2 linked regions of the Caenorhabditis elegans genome follow. The protein of the gene in region 2 interacts with the protein of the main gene of each other region in a pairwise test. Each region holds a gene or a part of one and is shown on either strand. Other genes may lie near its edges.

Evidence for each region.
Region 1: the proteins of imb-2 (region 2) and meg-2 interact in a two-hybrid assay, tested with the Caenorhabditis elegans proteins (one large-scale study listed by BioGRID).

What each region holds. Positions count from the first base shown.
Region 1 is NC_003284.9:13,920,308-13,929,739, reverse strand, and holds meg-2 (Protein meg-2), read left to right. Parts: upstream 1-3,610; 5' UTR 3,611-3,631; coding exon 3,632-3,770; intron 3,771-3,823; coding exon 3,824-4,126; intron 4,127-4,407; coding exon 4,408-6,027; intron 6,028-6,070; coding exon 6,071-6,302; intron 6,303-6,458; coding exon 6,459-6,599; intron 6,600-6,643; coding exon 6,644-6,668; 3' UTR 6,669-7,097; downstream 7,098-9,432. Other genes in the region: Protein meg-1, read left to right, coding at 127-265, 316-1,398, 1,442-1,682, 1,728-2,006, 2,057-2,197, 2,244-2,271.
Region 2 is NC_003280.10:14,361,646-14,369,787, reverse strand, and holds the start of imb-2 (Importin N-terminal domain-containing protein), read right to left. Parts: upstream 4,088-8,142; 5' UTR 4,050-4,087; coding exon 4,014-4,049; intron 3,966-4,013; coding exon 2,574-3,965; intron 2,401-2,573; coding exon 2,067-2,400; intron 2,012-2,066; coding exon 1,679-2,011; intron 1,637-1,678; coding exon 1,421-1,636; intron 1,369-1,420; coding exon 1,118-1,368; intron 1-1,117. Other genes in the region: tebp-1 (SPK domain-containing protein), read right to left, coding at 4,913-5,122, 5,172-5,417, 5,484-5,672, 5,731-6,229, 6,279-6,740, 6,786-7,508, 7,581-7,765.

The DNA of each region.
Region 1 (9,432 bases), on a different chromosome or scaffold from region 2:
CTCTTTTTCATCTGCAGTTATTGCGAAATCTTTTATTTTCTGTTGAATTTTTTTTTTGTTTTTAGCCAAATTCTTGTAATTTTTCCACAATAATTCCATTTTTAGAGATTGATTTCTTGAGCGGCGATGGATAATCGTGGTCATTTTTCTTCAAATGGGAATTTCCCACCGCAAGGATATCACCGACGTGAGCAGTCCCAAGAAGGAATGAGAATCGGGAATCATCACGGACCGTTTTCTTCGGGCAACATGCGTAGTATTGGAGGTAAAAAAAAATTAAAATTCAATAGATTTATTAAACTGGTTTTTTTTCAGGCTCAGCTCAAAACCAGCAGCAACGTCATTGGACAAACATGCTCAATGGCTCAAATAATGTTGAGAATTCTTGGGTGTGCTTCTCTGGAAACACGTCTCTTGCCGATGATCCAAATGTTCTCTCCAATTTCTCTGCGTTGGCACAACAAAGAGTTAACCATTTTGATACAATTGTGCAGGAAAGGGACAATAGGAATGCGAGTTTCCTGAATGGTTCAGCAGTTGGAAATAACCTGAACACTTCGTTTAGCGTTTTTGGCAACTTGCGAGGAGGAGACCAAGATCATCGAGTTCTTTCCGATCACACTGGAATTTACACTGGTTTGGGATCCACTGGACAAAACGCTGTTGGAACCGGGATAAGACTGGCCGCTGATGTCGCGAACGGCAATTTCTTGGAGCAGAGAGCACCTACTGCCATGGGACACAACCAAAGCTATTCTGCACTGAACCAGTCATTAGCACCAACACTCCTTGACCAATACAATCAGGCACTCCTCGACCAATACAATCAGTCTTCACAAATGGCTCAAGGACGAGGATATCCGGCTCCAAATATAGCTTACGGTCTTCAAAATGCCGGTTTTCCAGCTCCACAAATAGCTCATCGGCCGAATACTCAAAATGCAGATCCTCAAGCGATGAATATGAATAACCGTTTAAGAGATCATACCTTCCAGATGCCACATACAAACGCTCAAGTTCCAATGAGTTCTCTGCCAGGTCTATTTAATTTATCCATGAATCACGGCTCCGGGAATCAACAGTTCCAAATGAATCAAAGCTCATCAGGCCCTGCACCTCAGTTGCCTAATCTGTCGGAAAGCTTCCAGATGGCGCAAGGGAGCTCTCAAGTTACAATGAGTTCCAGACCAGCTCACTCCAACACTTCTATGAATCACAGCTCGAGGAACCAATACAACCACGTGGATCAACGCCCATCACGCCCTGCACCCCATTTGCCAACTCTGACAAAGGAAGAGGAAGCTTTCTTGGAGACTCCAGATTTTGAACAATTTGGAAGACAATTGTACAACTACTTGCTTCCGGGAATCCTTCCAAATGGTGCTGCAGACACTTTCAGTAAGTGGAATTTGTGTGTTTATGTGATTTAAAATCATTTTAGGTGACGCTCCCAAGCATCAGTTGCTGAAGCTGGCAAAAACACTGAAGCCGATGCTCTACGACTACTGGCGGAAGACGATGCAAATGCAGAATCGTGGAGCCAACATCAACATTATTCAGTGGATTATTGATTTCAACGCCAAGTTTGCTGCTCTCAACAGTTCAGTTGCCAAAGCCTCAAACTCATCGGATGTTCTCAATCAAACTCTTCCAACTGCGGCTGAGGTTTCGGATGTTGCCAGGTGCATACTCTGCCTGTTGTTTGTTTTCTATCCTACTTTTTTCAGAGAGGATGCTTCGACTTCACAGCCATCCAAAAGCCGATCCATGTACATTCGTCCCGCTGCCAGTCTTGATAATACCTTGGAGACACTTGATGAGAATTTGGATTCTTCACAAAGTCATGCCGGGCCAGTTCCAGCAGCTTCAACTAAGCCCAAAACACCATCCTTTGAGAAGATGATTAGATACAGTGGCATCAAAAAGCGAAGCACAATGGACATGGATAATTTTGTTCGTATGCTTGATGAAAAGATCAACTTTTCGCCTGAGCCAAGCACTTCAAGGTATGTTAACCATAATAAACGAATTCCGATGTACTATTATTTCTTTTCAGTGATATTGCCAGCTCTGTGAAAGGCTACATGTCTCAATCCTTCCTCCACCAACAAGATGACGAAGCTCCTGATTGCACCAAGAATGTTCATTCTGAAAGTGATTTGAAACAAGCTGAGCCACAAGAATCGGACAAGCAAAGGTGAGACTTGTGAACTTATATAAATAACAAGCAATTTTTTTTTCAGTGACAAGGAATTGCCAAGCAATGAATGAGACGTTGGACAATTGGTTCGCCTACAAGAACACACTTACTGTGCTGCCATTTTGTACCATAACAATTCTATTTTTACCATACTAACCAATTTCACAATTACAAATTATATTTTCCTGTGATTTTCATCAACCATCAACCCATCTTGTGCTGTATTTGTATCTCATAGTAGAAACCTCCCAGCAACTAATTTTGACTTTTGGCTCGCCTGCCAACATCAATCTTATTACCCAATTTTGTACCATAACACTCTCTATTTCTACCACACTAACCAATTTCACGATTAGAAATTCTTTTTCCTGTGATTTTCTTCAACCATCTTGTATTGTACTTGTATCTCATAGTGCTCAGTTTCAGTCTTACCGGTTTTCCAGTCACTGTCCAGTACAATTTCACCGACTATTGTTGTTTATTTCGATAAAAATATTTTGTTCTAAATGTTTGAAATTTGTTGTAAAAACTGGAAATTACTAATCCAAACATATATCTTTCAAAAACAAATACCCATTGAATTATTTTGGTTTATTTTAAAAGTCATACCGTTTTTCACATGATGAAGATATTGAGAAAACGAGTTCAGGTTTAATGGTAGGACAAACTTGTAAAGTTCAATTATGATGTGGCTTGATTCGGTGCATTTTTATATTTTTCAAGTGATCAACCTAAGACCTCATTTGATCAACGAATGCTCGTATTTAACTAGGTTAAGTAGATAAAAACGTGTGGATCACTTTTTTAGTTAAAAGTTTCTTGCTGAAACGTATAGCTTTTGGAGCATACTTATTGGAAAAGTCTAAATAGTCGCCGAAAAATTGAAAGCGAGTATTGGCCAGCACTGTTTTAAATAGTTCAACAGCAGAAAATTGCACACCAATAAGACTTCAGAGAATTTTATTTTGAGAAACTCTGAACTATGCAATTTTTTCTTGAAATCCCTACAACTCTAATTTCTGCATACTTTAAACTCTCAAACGCCAGAATTTCATAAGGTTTCTGAGAAATTTCAAACGATCACATTCGCCCTTTCACAGCTAACTTAGGTTTTCAAATTCAAAGAAAAAAATCATGCATAAATAAGAACCGTTCCATTTTTATCTGTTCCAGTTTACAATGGTAAAATCAATAATTCGCGTGTGCACTGTTTTCATCATATCCATCGTCACAGTTCCGTCACGCACTTGCTGCGTCTCTTCCCTCTCACTTTTCCTTCCGAGGCACTCCATTCAGTCTTCGTTCCATTACACGTGGACAGTGGTCCGCTCTCTGTTTCATCTGCAGTTGTTGCGAAATCTCTTTTTTTTCTTTTTTCTTAACATTTTTCTACAATTTTTCAATTTTTAGGTTTCCATTTGTTGCGCGGCAATGGAAAATTGTGATGATCTTTCATCGGATGAGAATCTCCCACCACCCGGAGATCACCGTCGCGAACAGTCCCAAGAAAGAGCGAGAGTCGGGAATCGTGATGAATCAGTTTCTTCGACCAACATGCGTAGTATTGGAGGTAAAAAAAAATAAATTTAGATTCACTATATTTATTAAACCGGTTTGTTACAGGTGCAGTTCACAACCAGCAGCAACTTTATTGGACAGACATGTACAATGGCTCAAATAATTTGGAGAATTTTTGGCTGTGCTTCTCTGGAAACACGTCTCTTGCCGATGATCCAACCGTTCAATCCGATTCATCCGCGTCCACACAAAGTAGAACTAACCAAAGTGGTACAATTGCACAGGAAACGGACAACAGGAATGCAAGCAATTTTCCGCCACGATCAACAACTCGGCGTGGACAGACATATGAATCGAGAGACGAGTCTCAAGGAGGACAGGCGCCCTCACATCAGAACCAGGTTCCAGGTGAGCCTCAAATCTAAACTTTGATTAGAAAATTATCTACGTTCACAGTGCATTACTTCAACAGTCGGGAGAATCATATATTCATGTTGTATGAAATTTTCTCTCTTTATTTCTTACTGAAGTACCGGGTAATAATTGAATGAAAATAAGTTATCAAAACATAACAAATTGATAAGGTTCCAATTTCTATTTATTTTTTATATGAAACATTTATCGGAAACATAAGTACAACTTCATTTATTCTTTGGCACTTCATATATTAATAAGCTAAATTGTTTCAGGTGTTGATCGCGATGAGTATGCAGGTGACCGGAGTAACGTTTCCATCAATCTACCATCCGTAGATCAGTGGCGCGAATACAGTTTTTCTGATAATTCGTTTCAAGGCGAAAGCCGGACTGTCCAACGGAGATCATCCCGGGCCACACATCGCGTCAAAAATCAATTTGGCAGCATTGGAGATGGGAGAACGAGCAATAATACGAGCCTCCAAGAGCCAGTGATTCAGGATACAAGAAATCGAAATCGCTCTGAATCTTCTTCCACCATGTCATCGCAATCACGAACAGAACATGCTCCAATTTTCCGGTTGCAATATAATTACCAAAGAGAGGCAGACAATAGATCTTCACGATTGGTTCAAATACAAGGACATTCGGCTCCAAATAATGCAAACGGTCTACAAAATACGGGCGGTCAAGCTCCAGACATTGGTCCTGAGGTCAATGGTCAGAGTTCCGATACTCGAGCAATGAACATGGGTAATCAGATGGCTCAAGGCGATTCCCACGTTCCAATGAATTTCGTACCAAGACCTTTGTCTAACGGTGTTCCCAGGCTTCACGGAGTTCCCAGGCTTGTAGACATGTACGATTATGAACTTGCTCAGAGGGCTCATGCACGAAGATATCCGACTTCAAATATGCCATACGGTTTTCCAAATGCCGGCTTTCAAGCTCCTCCACACATGGGTTTGTGGCCAAATAATCAAAATGCAGATACTCGAGCAATGAACATGGATAACCGTTCGAGAGATCGTACCTTCCAGATGCCTCCTGCAAACGCTCAAGTTCCAACGAGTTCTCTGTCAGGTCTATTCAATTCATCTATAAATCACGGCTCCGGGAATCAACAGTTCCAAATGGGACAGAGCTCATCAGGTTCTGCACCTCAATTGCCTGCTCTTCCGGAAAATTTCCTGATGGCTCATGCAAACTCTCAAATTCCAACGAGTTCTCTGTCAGGTCTTTTCAATGCAATGAATCACGGCTCCGGGAATCGAATGAACCACAGCTCATCAGGCCCTGCACCTCAGTTGCCCAATCTGCCGGAAAGCTTCCTGATGGCTCATGGAATTGGTCAAGTTGAAACAAGGTCCCCAGCAGGTCCCTCCAATTCCTCCATAAATCACGGCTCCGGGAATCAACAGTTCCCAGTTCAACAAAGCTCATCACGCCCTGCACCTCAGTTGCCCAATCTGCCGGAAAGCTTCTTGATGGCTCATGGACTCTCTCAAATTCAAACAAGTTCCACAGCAGGTCCCTCCAACTCATCTATGAATCACGGCTCCGGGAATCAACAGTTCCGAATGGGACAGAGCTCATCACGCCCTGCACCTCAGTTGCCCAGTCTGCAGGAAAGCTTCTTGATGGCTCATGGAATTGCTCAAGTTGAAACAAGTTCCACAGCAGGTCCCTCCAACTCATCTATGAATCACGGCTCCGGGAATCAACAGTTCCCAGTTCAACAAAGCTCATCACGTCCTGCACCTCATTTGCCTGATCTGATAAGGCAAGAGGAAGAATTTTTGAACACTCTGGAGTTTGAGCAATTTGCAAGGCGATTGTACAACGACCTACTTCCTGGAGTTGATCCAAATTATGATTCAGGCACATCAACCAGTAGGTGGAAAAATGTGTATTCTTTGATTTCAAATAATTTTAGGTGAGACTCCAGTGCTAAAGTTCTCAATAACACTAAAGGCGATGCTTTACGACTACTGGCGGACGATGGTGCAAATGCAGTATCGCGGAGCGAACATCAACTTCCTCCAATCCATTATTAACTTGAATGCCAGGTCTGCTGCTCTCAACAGCTCAAACGCCAGAGCCTCAGGCTCGGCGGATGTGCAGAATCAAACAGTGTCAGCGACGGTCGAAGGAGCAGATGATGCCAGGTACACACAGGAATCCAGTCCGATGCCTCGGCATTTTTTGGCACTCGCTGCATTAAAAAAAAGTTTGGTTATAATACACGCGTACCAATTAATTCTTTATCTGAGCCGAGCACATCAAAGTATTCCAATAAAAAAAGTACCAATTATAATTTTCAGTGCCAATGTCAACGCATTGAGCGACTTGCTGGCCCAATCTTTCCCACGCCAAGCAGAAGGAGAAGCTTCTCGTCGCAACGATATAGATCATCCCGAAGATGATCTGAACCAGGCTGATTCACCGAAATCAGACAATCAGAGGTAAGCGGGAAAAATAGTTAAATATCACATCTTTATAATTTCAGTGACAAGGATCCTCCCAGCAACTAATTTTGACTATTGGCTCAACTACAAACATCAATCTTACGACCCAATTTTGTACCATATCATTTCTTTCCAATTTTACCATTTCTAGTTGTTTTTCTGTGATTTTTTTCAACAAGCAGCCCAACTTGTATCGTACTTGTATCTCATAACAGGAACTTCTCAGCAGTTAATTTTGATCAATGGCTCGCCTACCAATAACAGCCTTATTACCCACTTTTTTACCATACCATTTCTTCTTACCATACTAACCAATTTTACGACTTCTAGTTTTTTCCTGTGATTTTTTTTTCAACAAGCAGCCCATCTTGTATTGTACTTGTATCTCATAGTGCTCAGTCTCAATTTTTTTCGGGTTCCTAGCCACTGTCAAGTATAACCTCACCGGTCGTTTTTATTGTTGTTTATTTTAATGCATACAATTATTTTTATTTATTTATTTATATTTATTCATCAGGCAACAATCACAATGACACAATTACGACAAAGCAGTGAAGTGAAGGAAAAAGGAATGAATAACTAGATATAAAATAATCATTTGGACCCGCAAGAGTCCGGTGACTAAGTATGAGGGGGGGAAGAGGGTAAAACATTGTCAACAAAAAGTTGACCGAGACGTTTTCCGAACAAAATTTCTGAGACAGGCTTGGGGAAATAAGGTACTATTTTATTCCAGTAATTAAAATTTTTATGCAGGAAACTGTCATTTTTAACGCCGCATAGCTTAATTCTGTAAGGGAACCGGGTTTTGCTATTTTGCTCAGAATCTTTGTAACGAGAATAAAGAAACTTTGAAGCCCAAAGGATTATCTTTTCGAATGAATTAAATGTGAGTTTTGAAAGTTTACATGTTGGTAATTGGCAAAAGATAGATCTTCGATAGTAACTTATAACATGATTTTGAGAAAACTGTTTCATGTTTGAAAGTGTAAAAACAACAGCTTATGAAAATCTATTTCAAATTGTCAATATTGTACAGACCCGACTTTGTCTCCTATCCCTGCTTTTCTAAAAAAATTCCCTGATCTTTAATAAGCACAACCTAAAACGTGATAACTTTTGCTTGGCATTGGGACGCCCACAGAAATCGACGCCAATATTTCAAAAAGTGTCTCATCTGACGATAAATTTTATCACAAGAAAACTGATTATCATATTTTAAGTCCCCATGCCCGGGGCGAGCTGCAGATTGCTAAAAATTTCAAAAATCATGCAATGGAAAAAATAAAAAGTTTTCAAATTTCTAGTGCATAGAATTTTGAGGCTCAGATTGTTATAAAGTTATTATATTGGTAGAAAACTGGCTCAATACATGCCAAGCTGACAAATTATGTCAAATTTGAATTTAAAATTTCTTAAAATATATTGAAGATTAAGAATTACCGGTAATGCCAATTGCCAAAATTTTCCGATTACCGCACACCTTTGCCGCATATTATATGACTGATGTCAATAGAATTATTTTTTTGCCTTTACATAAGTGAACTTTCCTGTTGAATTTAAGCCAAATCAAAATACCTAGTGTTGTTAACTGATTTAAAAATTATTTGAACCTTTTTTTACATATATTTACTATTTGCTTAACACGGGAACACTCGTAGTGTTAAAGTTTGTTGAAATATTGAAAAATGTTCATCATTATTTGAAATTATTTCAGTAAAACAAAAAATATAAAAATCACATTTTCATCGTGCCGCAAAATCCCAGTTTCTTCAAAATTGATTAAAAAATGGGCCAGACATCATCTGAAGAGAGCGCCTCCATGACAGTAAAGATTTCGAGTAACCGACTGTCAATAGACTGCTCTCTTCAGTTTCAGTCGGCTCTCGATCAACTAACCTTGTCGGATAGTGAATACCAGATGTATAGATAATAATTGACAGCGTTGGTAGATGCCACTGCAGGCCAGGAAGCTGACAAAATATAACATGTTCAATGTTTGGCGAAAAATAATATTAACGAAGTAGAAACAATATGGTCTTTTAAACTCAAAAAAAAAGATTATCATTGGAAATATCAGGAAATTTTGAAATTTTTGTCCAATTAAATTGAGATATGTGGCTTTGCACTTCATGTTTTTACGTCTGTGCAATAACCTCTTATTTTTGAAAAATTATAGAAAACTACACTACGAACCTATATTTTAAATTACCTGTACATCTAAACCGATGGCACTGTGGGAAACCAGTGTGAATGCCTCGTTTACACACTCAGACGTCGAATGCGAGTAAAACTATGTGTGCGAAAAAGGTGTATGCCGTGTGTGAGTGTGTCGGTTTGCGCTGTCAGTCCAAAAAAGATGGGTCAGTCACCGCCCACCCCAACCGTCGATCAACGTCGCCTCCCTCGGTCTCTCCTGGTCGCTCCGTTTTTATCGTTCATTGTTCTTTTTCGCCTACTCTTCTTCAGCCGTCTTCTCTTACGCCTTCTCATTTTTTTCTTCATCTTCTTCTTCCCCCCGTCGTCTTCTCACTTGGAGTCGGAAAGAACGCAAAAACCGGTTTGACAATTGAATTCGCTTAGAAGGAGACGACGACGATGTGGAGAAGTTTCTCGATAATTTGAAAAGAGACGTGAAGGAGGCGAATAAAAACGAATAAGACAACAAAGAAGACATGGAAAATGAGAAAATTCAAAGGTTCGAGAAATCACCTTTGCATGGGGAAATTGGTTGATTGTAATTGGTTTTATAATTCTATTTTGGAAAAAAAAAACTTAATTAGAAATCGGCAAAGAATTAGAAATTGGAACACATAAAACCGAAAAATAC
Region 2 (8,142 bases):
AAGACATTACGAATACGGAATAAAATAATGGAATAACTCACAATTTTGGAAATAAATATAAAGTAAAATTCAAAAAATCCCGCAAACTCTGTTTTTTCGCGGTTCAACATTTCGAACCTCGAAAAATTAATTAGGTCTGAAAAAGTTGAATTGTAGTACCTGATTGCGCCCATGATGCGGCGACAACTAACGATTGTTCAATATGTTTCTGATAACTTGGTTGTTATCTTATCTGAAGGTAATAGCTGAAAAACTTACCAAAATTAAAACTGTTCTACACTACATAACCCTTTTCAACAAAAAAATTTTTTTTTTTTTTGGAAAAAATCTTCATACCACAGATGGAGAAAAAGTTGAAATTTTCAAAAAAATTAAATTTTCCAAAAAGTTTCCACATGACTTTCATGCTTTCCAGGAACCAAAAAATTTATGCTGAACCTATTTAAAAACGAAATTAACCGCGTTTTTGTGGATAATTTATGCTCGAGAAAAAATTCAAAAAAAATTACACCTAGTGGGGGACGAACCTGTGACGTCTGGATTAATGAACGCAAGTGTTCACCAATCGGCTATTCGAACGGTGGCTGCAGTGCAAAACGTTTGTGTAGCCAATTCTACACACTTAAAATGGGATTTTCAGCAAAAAAAGCACTAATTTTTAAGGCCAAAAATTTCAGCTTTGGGACCGAGTTAAGCAGATTCCAAAAACTGATTCTTGTAGCCATAGATCTGATCTTCCATTTTCACTTTGTTTTGTCCTCCTAGCAATTGCAGGGGTAACACCATTCCCTAGTTAGTTTATGTCGACGATCGATTTTTTTTTCAGAATTTTTGAAAAAACCGAAAAATGAAAAAAATGTTTTCTTTTTCTAATTTCCAAAAAAATTTTTTTTTGTCAATTTTCGTATCGATTGTTCTATTTAAAAAATCGGAAATTTTTGTTTTTCGATAATTGCATTTTTATCGAAAAATTTTCTCTAGTTTGAAAATGAGGGCTTTTGCTGTTTTGAAGTCTTATATATTTTTTGATGTTTTTTCTCATCAATATATTCAAAAATCGATGAAATATCGACATTTTTTCGATTTTGTCAGAAAAAAATCGAAAATCTTCAAATACCCCGGCAAAAAGAACCCGAAGTGAGTCGGTCGGTACTGTCCACGAAGCGATAGCGTCACACCAAAAGATGAAATCATTGAGAACTCCGACGGGATTCATGTTGATCATATTGCATAAACCGATGAACGCGCTCTCTTTTTCCGCGTTATCCTTAATATTTCGAAGTGAGTAGCAGCAAGGGCGAACGAATCGGCTGATATGGGGAGCCAGCTCTTCACCGCAACATTGTCCGAGACGGCCGATTGTGATGGCTGTAAATTTAAATACCTAGTTTCCAAGCTTTTACTATTTTTAGATATTCACCAGTATTCTCCAACAACGTCCGCTGCATATTCTGCTGGCTATTGATGACAACAATCAGAGGTTCAATGATGGGCCCGATGAACTGTTTCATTGCGGGACCCATTTTCAGCGCCAACTCTCCGAGCGCCCAAATCGCATTGTTGCACACACTGATCTTGGAGGGATCCAGGTTTTGGGCGAGAAAAAATATGAAATTGCCTGCAAATTGTAAGATTTCTGAAAATGTTTATCAAATCTGTAGACGCGGGAGCTACTTACTACTCTGTGGGAGCACTCGTTCTGGACACGCTTTCGTCAAATCTCCGAGTAACGCGAAGCACGATTGTCTGACGTCTGGCGTCACATCTAACGAGCAGAACAACATCAACTCGACCAGCTTGCTGTTTGCCACCAAGGGATCCATATGTTCCGGTAACGACTCAGCGAGTCCCGAGAGGAGATCAAGCGCCACAATGATAAAGTCCGTTTCGGGAGCTTCTACTTGATCCGGAGCCATAATGTGTTGTTGGTTTTGTTGAACACACTTTTCGATGAGACTACAGCACCTTGTGAATACCGGTTGAATGTATGGAAGGAAGGATTGTCCCATTGCTGTAAAAAGTATGAAGTCGAAACTATCTTATAATTAGTTATTTCTTTTACCAACCTGAAACAATTGCAGAAATACATTCCAAAAGTGGGAACAACTCCTTGTCCTCGTCACTCAACCGCTCCCACTTCTCCATCAACGGCGGCATGAGCATTTGCACATAAACCGGATGACTTAACGCGTCGCCCACAGAATTCGCTAGTGTTCCGATGGCATCGTACAAAATCAGAAGATTCTTTGCCTGATAGCACTGGAACGCCTTGACCAGTTGATCGAGGATCTCGCCAAGGAATGGAATGAGCTGCTCGCCAGCTTCTTCTTCGAGAGTTGCGAACGCAGAGCATGCAGCTTCTTGAACTTTCTTGTTTCCGTCGAGCGAACAGCGGAGAAGCTGAAAATTAATTTGTTTTTCTCAATTTAGTACATTACTTGCGTTCAACTAGAATTTAACTGAAAGAGTACCCCATTTTAAATCTTTTAAAACAATTTTGCAAATTAAGTCTAGTTTTTTTTTAAACTTTTTTTGAAGCACTACGAGGTTTTTTATATATTCTAAATTCTCACATTGGCGAGCACATCCTTGAAAAACTGTTGCCTGAAGTTCTCGTCGGATGCAATATGCGAACTATATCTGGACAGCGTCCAGCACGTGATCGATCGAACGAGTGGCTTCTTGTCAAACATCATAGCCAGCATGAATGGTATGAGCTCGCCAAGGTGTGGCACAACGCCGTCCATGCATCCCTCCGCGATTGCCCCGAGCGCAAGTATTCCAGACTCTTTGACCAGCCAGTTGTCATTCATCAATGTGTCCTTGAGGAGGGGGAAGAGCTTATCCAACAGATCCTTTCCAAAAATAGAAGCCAGAACATCTAAAGATGCTGCTGAACACCTTCTGATATTCCAGTCGCCACCACCATCGTCATCATCGTCCTCGTCTTCCTCATCATCCGACTCCACAAGGCCACCAAGACCATGCTGCTTCGACTTATGAAACCTAGGCTTGATATCCTCCTCTCTATCAGGAACCGAACTATCTTCATCATTAGCTTTCAACGCAGGATCTGTCTCAGAATATCGCATGGAGCCAAGCAGAACTGGTATGAGCTTATCGAGATGTGGAAGCACCATTGTTCGGCAAATATCACTATTCTCAGCAATTGAAAGCCAAAACTCGCAGGCCTCTAAGGCAATCGACTCGTTGTGATCTTGAGTCTTCTTAATAATATATTCTATGACATTCGGCAAATGAGGCATCATTTTCTCGATGTGTGTGTCCAGCAGAAGCGTCAGCGATCTACATAACTGTTTTTGCACCTCCTCATCATTGTCATTGTGGCGAGCGAAAAGCGAAGTAAGAAATTGATCTATTGCAAAATCAATTGGATCATTATTAACCATTAGAATGCAATTCACACAATTCATTGCAAGAGCCCGCATCTTCGCAGCATGATGCTCATAGAAAACAAGAAGCTTCGGCATGATTGGCCGAAGAAATTCCGACTCATACCGATCCGCCGAGTCTTCGAAAACCTTCTGAAGTGCTCCAAGAGCGCCTTCTTGCATCAGCTCGTCGGGTTGCATCAGAACTGTGGCCAGAGTGTCTAGAAGGTCCGGCCAATCGCACATATTCTCCTCCATAACGATAGTCGTGACAATGATACCTACTGTCGCACGAATCAGTGGCTCTTGATCGCCTATACTTTTCAAACATGTTGTCCTGACGAAAAACTTCACGTCCTGCGGATACTTATTCCATTTTGCTCGAATATTATTTTTAAGCAACAAGCCGGCCAGCGATCGACTCGTCGCGTCAATCATCTCCTTCATGTCGCTCAGTATGTAAACCAGATAACAACAGAACTTCTGATGCTCATTGAGCTGTACCAATTGCACTTGAACATTACGTTGAACATCTCTGTCTGTGGAGTGAGCGTGTTGTAAGAGTTGAATTACCTGAAAACTCGGATTTTGCGAAATAATCGATTTTTTAACGACGCTCACCTGCTCTAATTCGTGTTGGTCTGGTTGGAAAGCCATTTTGATTCGTCGGCATAAAGCTCCAAATTGTTCTGAAAAAAGAAACACATTAAAATCGTAAATTTAAACTTCTTAACGAGCAATTAATTAAGATTTTACGGATTGATGTCAAGAATGCAGTAATTTCTGCAGAATTGAAATTTGTGTTCAAAATATCAACCATATTGATATTTTAAATAAAATGGAGATAAATCCTGCAGCCAGAAGCAAAAATCGATGAGGACGCGTTCTCTGAATTGCTGAGAAGGGGAGAAATTGTGTTTTGCCGGCAGAAAAGAGCACTGCGGGTGGACGGAAAAGACGCCAAACCGAATACGCGCCAGCATTCACAAGGGAAATTTGAAAATAATTGTTTTATATTTTGTAACAAATATGGGGAACGTATTTATCATGATCATGGGAAAAAAATATGACAAATGTTTCAAAGCTAGAATTTCGCTGCGAGACCCGTAACCTGTAAGCCATGTTCCTTTAACTTTTGATTACTGTAGTAGGCACCTTTTGATATAAAAAATTCCCGTGTTCGAAGTTATTTAATAAAAAAATTAAAAAAGTTAACTTAAAGCTTAAAATGTTTATTTGACAAATAAAAAATGAATAAAACACGTTCATTTGGAGAAGTGTTATTTAACCAGTTTTTGTAATGAACGGGAGATCCATTTAGAGAACAACAAATTGAACACAATTGTACTAGAGGAAAGGAATGGAAAATCCATAAATGTTGAGAAAAATTGAAAAGAAGAATAGAAAAAAATGTTAAACAGTTATTTATGACTAGGGCGAGGGGTAAGGAATGAGAGAAGCCCATTAACTGTGAGAGAAATTGAATGGGAAAAAGAAAAAAACAGAACTTCAAAATCTATTTAATTGGTTGGCCCAAAATCAGCCTCAATGAGCGCTTCCCGGATGGCTTCTGTGCGCACTTCGAGAACCTTCTCGTTCTCGACGTTGCCGAGAACCTCTTCCACAATGGATTCCTTCTGTTCCAGAAGAACTTCACGAGAGATTCCTGTGAATTTGGTCTCAATCGCCTTGATAATTGTGCCGATTGTAACGGTCTTCGCTGTGGACTTCTGGAAAAAAAAAACCCGATAAAATTTCTATTATTTCTTTTTTTCTTACGTCAGTCCAATTTTCCTGATTTCCAAAAGCTTTCTCCAACGCTTCGTGTATCAATTCCAAATCTTTATCGTCGGCATCGTCCAAGACTTGCTGAACGACTTGCGAGTTCAGAGCATCATAATCCACCAAAATTGGAGAAATCTCGGCCGGCTTTAAACCATTGGAGGCGCTGTGGGATAGGCGATTTGGTATCATAGGAACCTTGAACACTGGCTCAGCTGATCGTGGGATGTCGGAATATGACTTCTGAAAAAAAAAACTTTAAATCAGTATTTTAAAATCATCATCCAAGTGAATTCAGGTTAAAATTACCTCCATTTTCACCCTGCACGAATTTGGAAGCAGCTCATCAAAGCTAGAAGACTCTGGAATCGTTGAGTCGGATTGTGATGTAAAAACGTCTCGAGATCCTTGACCGGCTTCAGACGGCACGAGCGCAGCGGCAGCTGGCTCGGCTGATGACACTGGCTCAGATGATGATGAGACGTCGGAGGACGATTTCTGAAAAAAAAAACAATTGAATTCAGTCTTTAAGATTATAATTCAAGTGTAAAATTACCTCCATTCCCACCCTGGAGAAATTTTGAAGCGACTCAGAGAGCAAGATCACAGCAGCAGCTGCACCTTCGAGAACGGTAGTCTCGTTTGTACTCTCGGTGATAGATTTCTGGAGATTGTTCACAGCATCCGTCATTTTGTTAGACAATTCGTCGACGTCCATTGCTTCTTTCTTAGAAGCAACCGATGTATCGAGATTTTCATCCATCATCTGCTCATCTGATTCTAGTGGAATCGTTTCATCCAGATCTTCATCGTCATCCTCAACATCCATGGCCTCGTGCTCAGGAGCTTCTTCCGCTTTTCCGTCTTTCTCAACCACTTCTTGTTTTACATCCGCATCGCCATCATCAACATCAATGGCCTCTATCTCACGAGCTTCTTCCGATTTTTTGTCCTTCTCAACCACTTCTCCCTTCACAACCGCATCCAAGAGCCTATAAGAAATCAAGCTACGGTCTGTGCCAACACGGAGCTTCACGTTAAACTTTCGCTCGATGCTGAAAAGGATTATTTATACGATGGATTATGAACGATATCTTAACTTACAGCTTCTCAGCCTCCTCATCAATTTCAATATCAATATGCTTGAGAAGATAGAGAATTGTTCTCTTGTGAAGTGGCATTTCGTGGAGTGCTGGGCACATGATCTTTCGAAAGTGCGAACTCCAATTGGTTGCAGATTTCGACGATCGTGAGACTTTGACAAAATCTCTCCAGAACGCGATTCCCTTTGGCATCAACTGGACACCTTCCTTCTTTGCCTCGACAATCTTCTCATGGACGAACTTCCATGCACACATATGATCGTCGAGTGTGAATTTTTCTCGCTTCTGAATCTTTTTCGGCGCATACGTTTCACGTACATTAGCTGACTGTGATCGATGGCTTGAAGGTCCTGGTTGATCCGTGGAAGCTCTTGAACGGAAATATGAAGATGTTGGATCCGAAACGACTTGAATCGGAGATGGTGGACGAATATCGTCGTGAAATACCATAAGACTGGGAGATCTGAAATAATTATAATTAAACTTAAAAAATGATATTTTCCAATACCTGTTCCTCATCGGAGTTCTTGGGGTCCAGGTAAGAATTTTGCTACGTGGAGCTGGCTGGTCTCGCACAATATCCCAGCTGACTACATATCCGTCGAGTGACAAAGCCACATCAAGCCGATCATTGTCGAGAATCCATTTACGCTGATGATAGCTCAATGGCACCGACAAGTCTTTTAATATCTGCAGTTTCGCATCCGGATCCATCGCCTGCTTCCAAAGGTTCTCGAGCATCATTTCGTTGAAATGGTGGAGCACAATGTGAGCCGACTTGATGGGAATATTCGGTTGTGATTGGAGCAGCTCGGCCCAAAATTGTTCAGTCATCAAAAATTTTCCGGTTAGACGGGCGGCGTTCTGGGAGACATGATTCCACATTGCCTTCTCGAAGGAATCAGAAATTTCCACATCTAGCGGCATTCGATTTTGAAGACGTTCGGGTTCTGGGACGGTTTCTGGGACGGTTTCTTCAAGTGTTTCTGGAATAGTTTCCGGTACTTTCTCTTTTCTCGATACGGATCCACAAGTGACTGGCCTTGCTGAAAAGTCGGAGAACTTCTGAAGACGTCTATTTGAGTCAACACGCAGAACAGTTTTGAATTTGGCCTCCAGTAGAATCTCGACATGCGGAGTCACCTCGATCTCCAGATTCTTGTAAAGAGTGAGCATTTTTTCTGGTTCCATCTCGCATTTGTAGAGAGTGGCTTTCATTGTTGTGACGTAGCTGAAAATTTGAAAATTAAAGCTTTTCGTGTCGTTAAAGTGAAAAAAATCCAAATGAAAAAGAAAAACTTACTACTCGTAAAGCTGCTCTGCCGTGAAAACAGACTCATGTTCCTGTAGATATTCCTTGAACAAATCCAAATTAACCTCATTGAACATCTCCATATTACACGTATTTTCGTGAATGAACTCCCAAATGGTCAGCTCATCGTCGAATGACGGTCTTGACGGCTTGTTCTTCTTTGCTCGAGATGACATTTTTCTGAAATATGGAAAATGAATATGTTTCCGAAATATCGTGACAACTGATAGAAAATATAACGTCGTTTTTTTGGATTATTTTGTTAAAACATCGTGCCAAATTGCCGTAATTTTAAAATATTTTGGGTTTTTTTATTTTTGGCATGATTTCTTAAAAGTGCACGGTCCTATTCAAATGCAAAAAGTTAATCGAAATGGGTTTTTTGTTTTTGTTTTTCGGACAGAAAAAAACACAAAAAAAATGAAACACACTTTTAAGGGGTAATTGAATTTTTCATAATTATAAAATTAATTAATGGTTATAAACCGAGAAAAAGTGATTTTTCAACAAAAAACAAGAACATAAATATTCATTCAATGAAAAAAAAATAGAA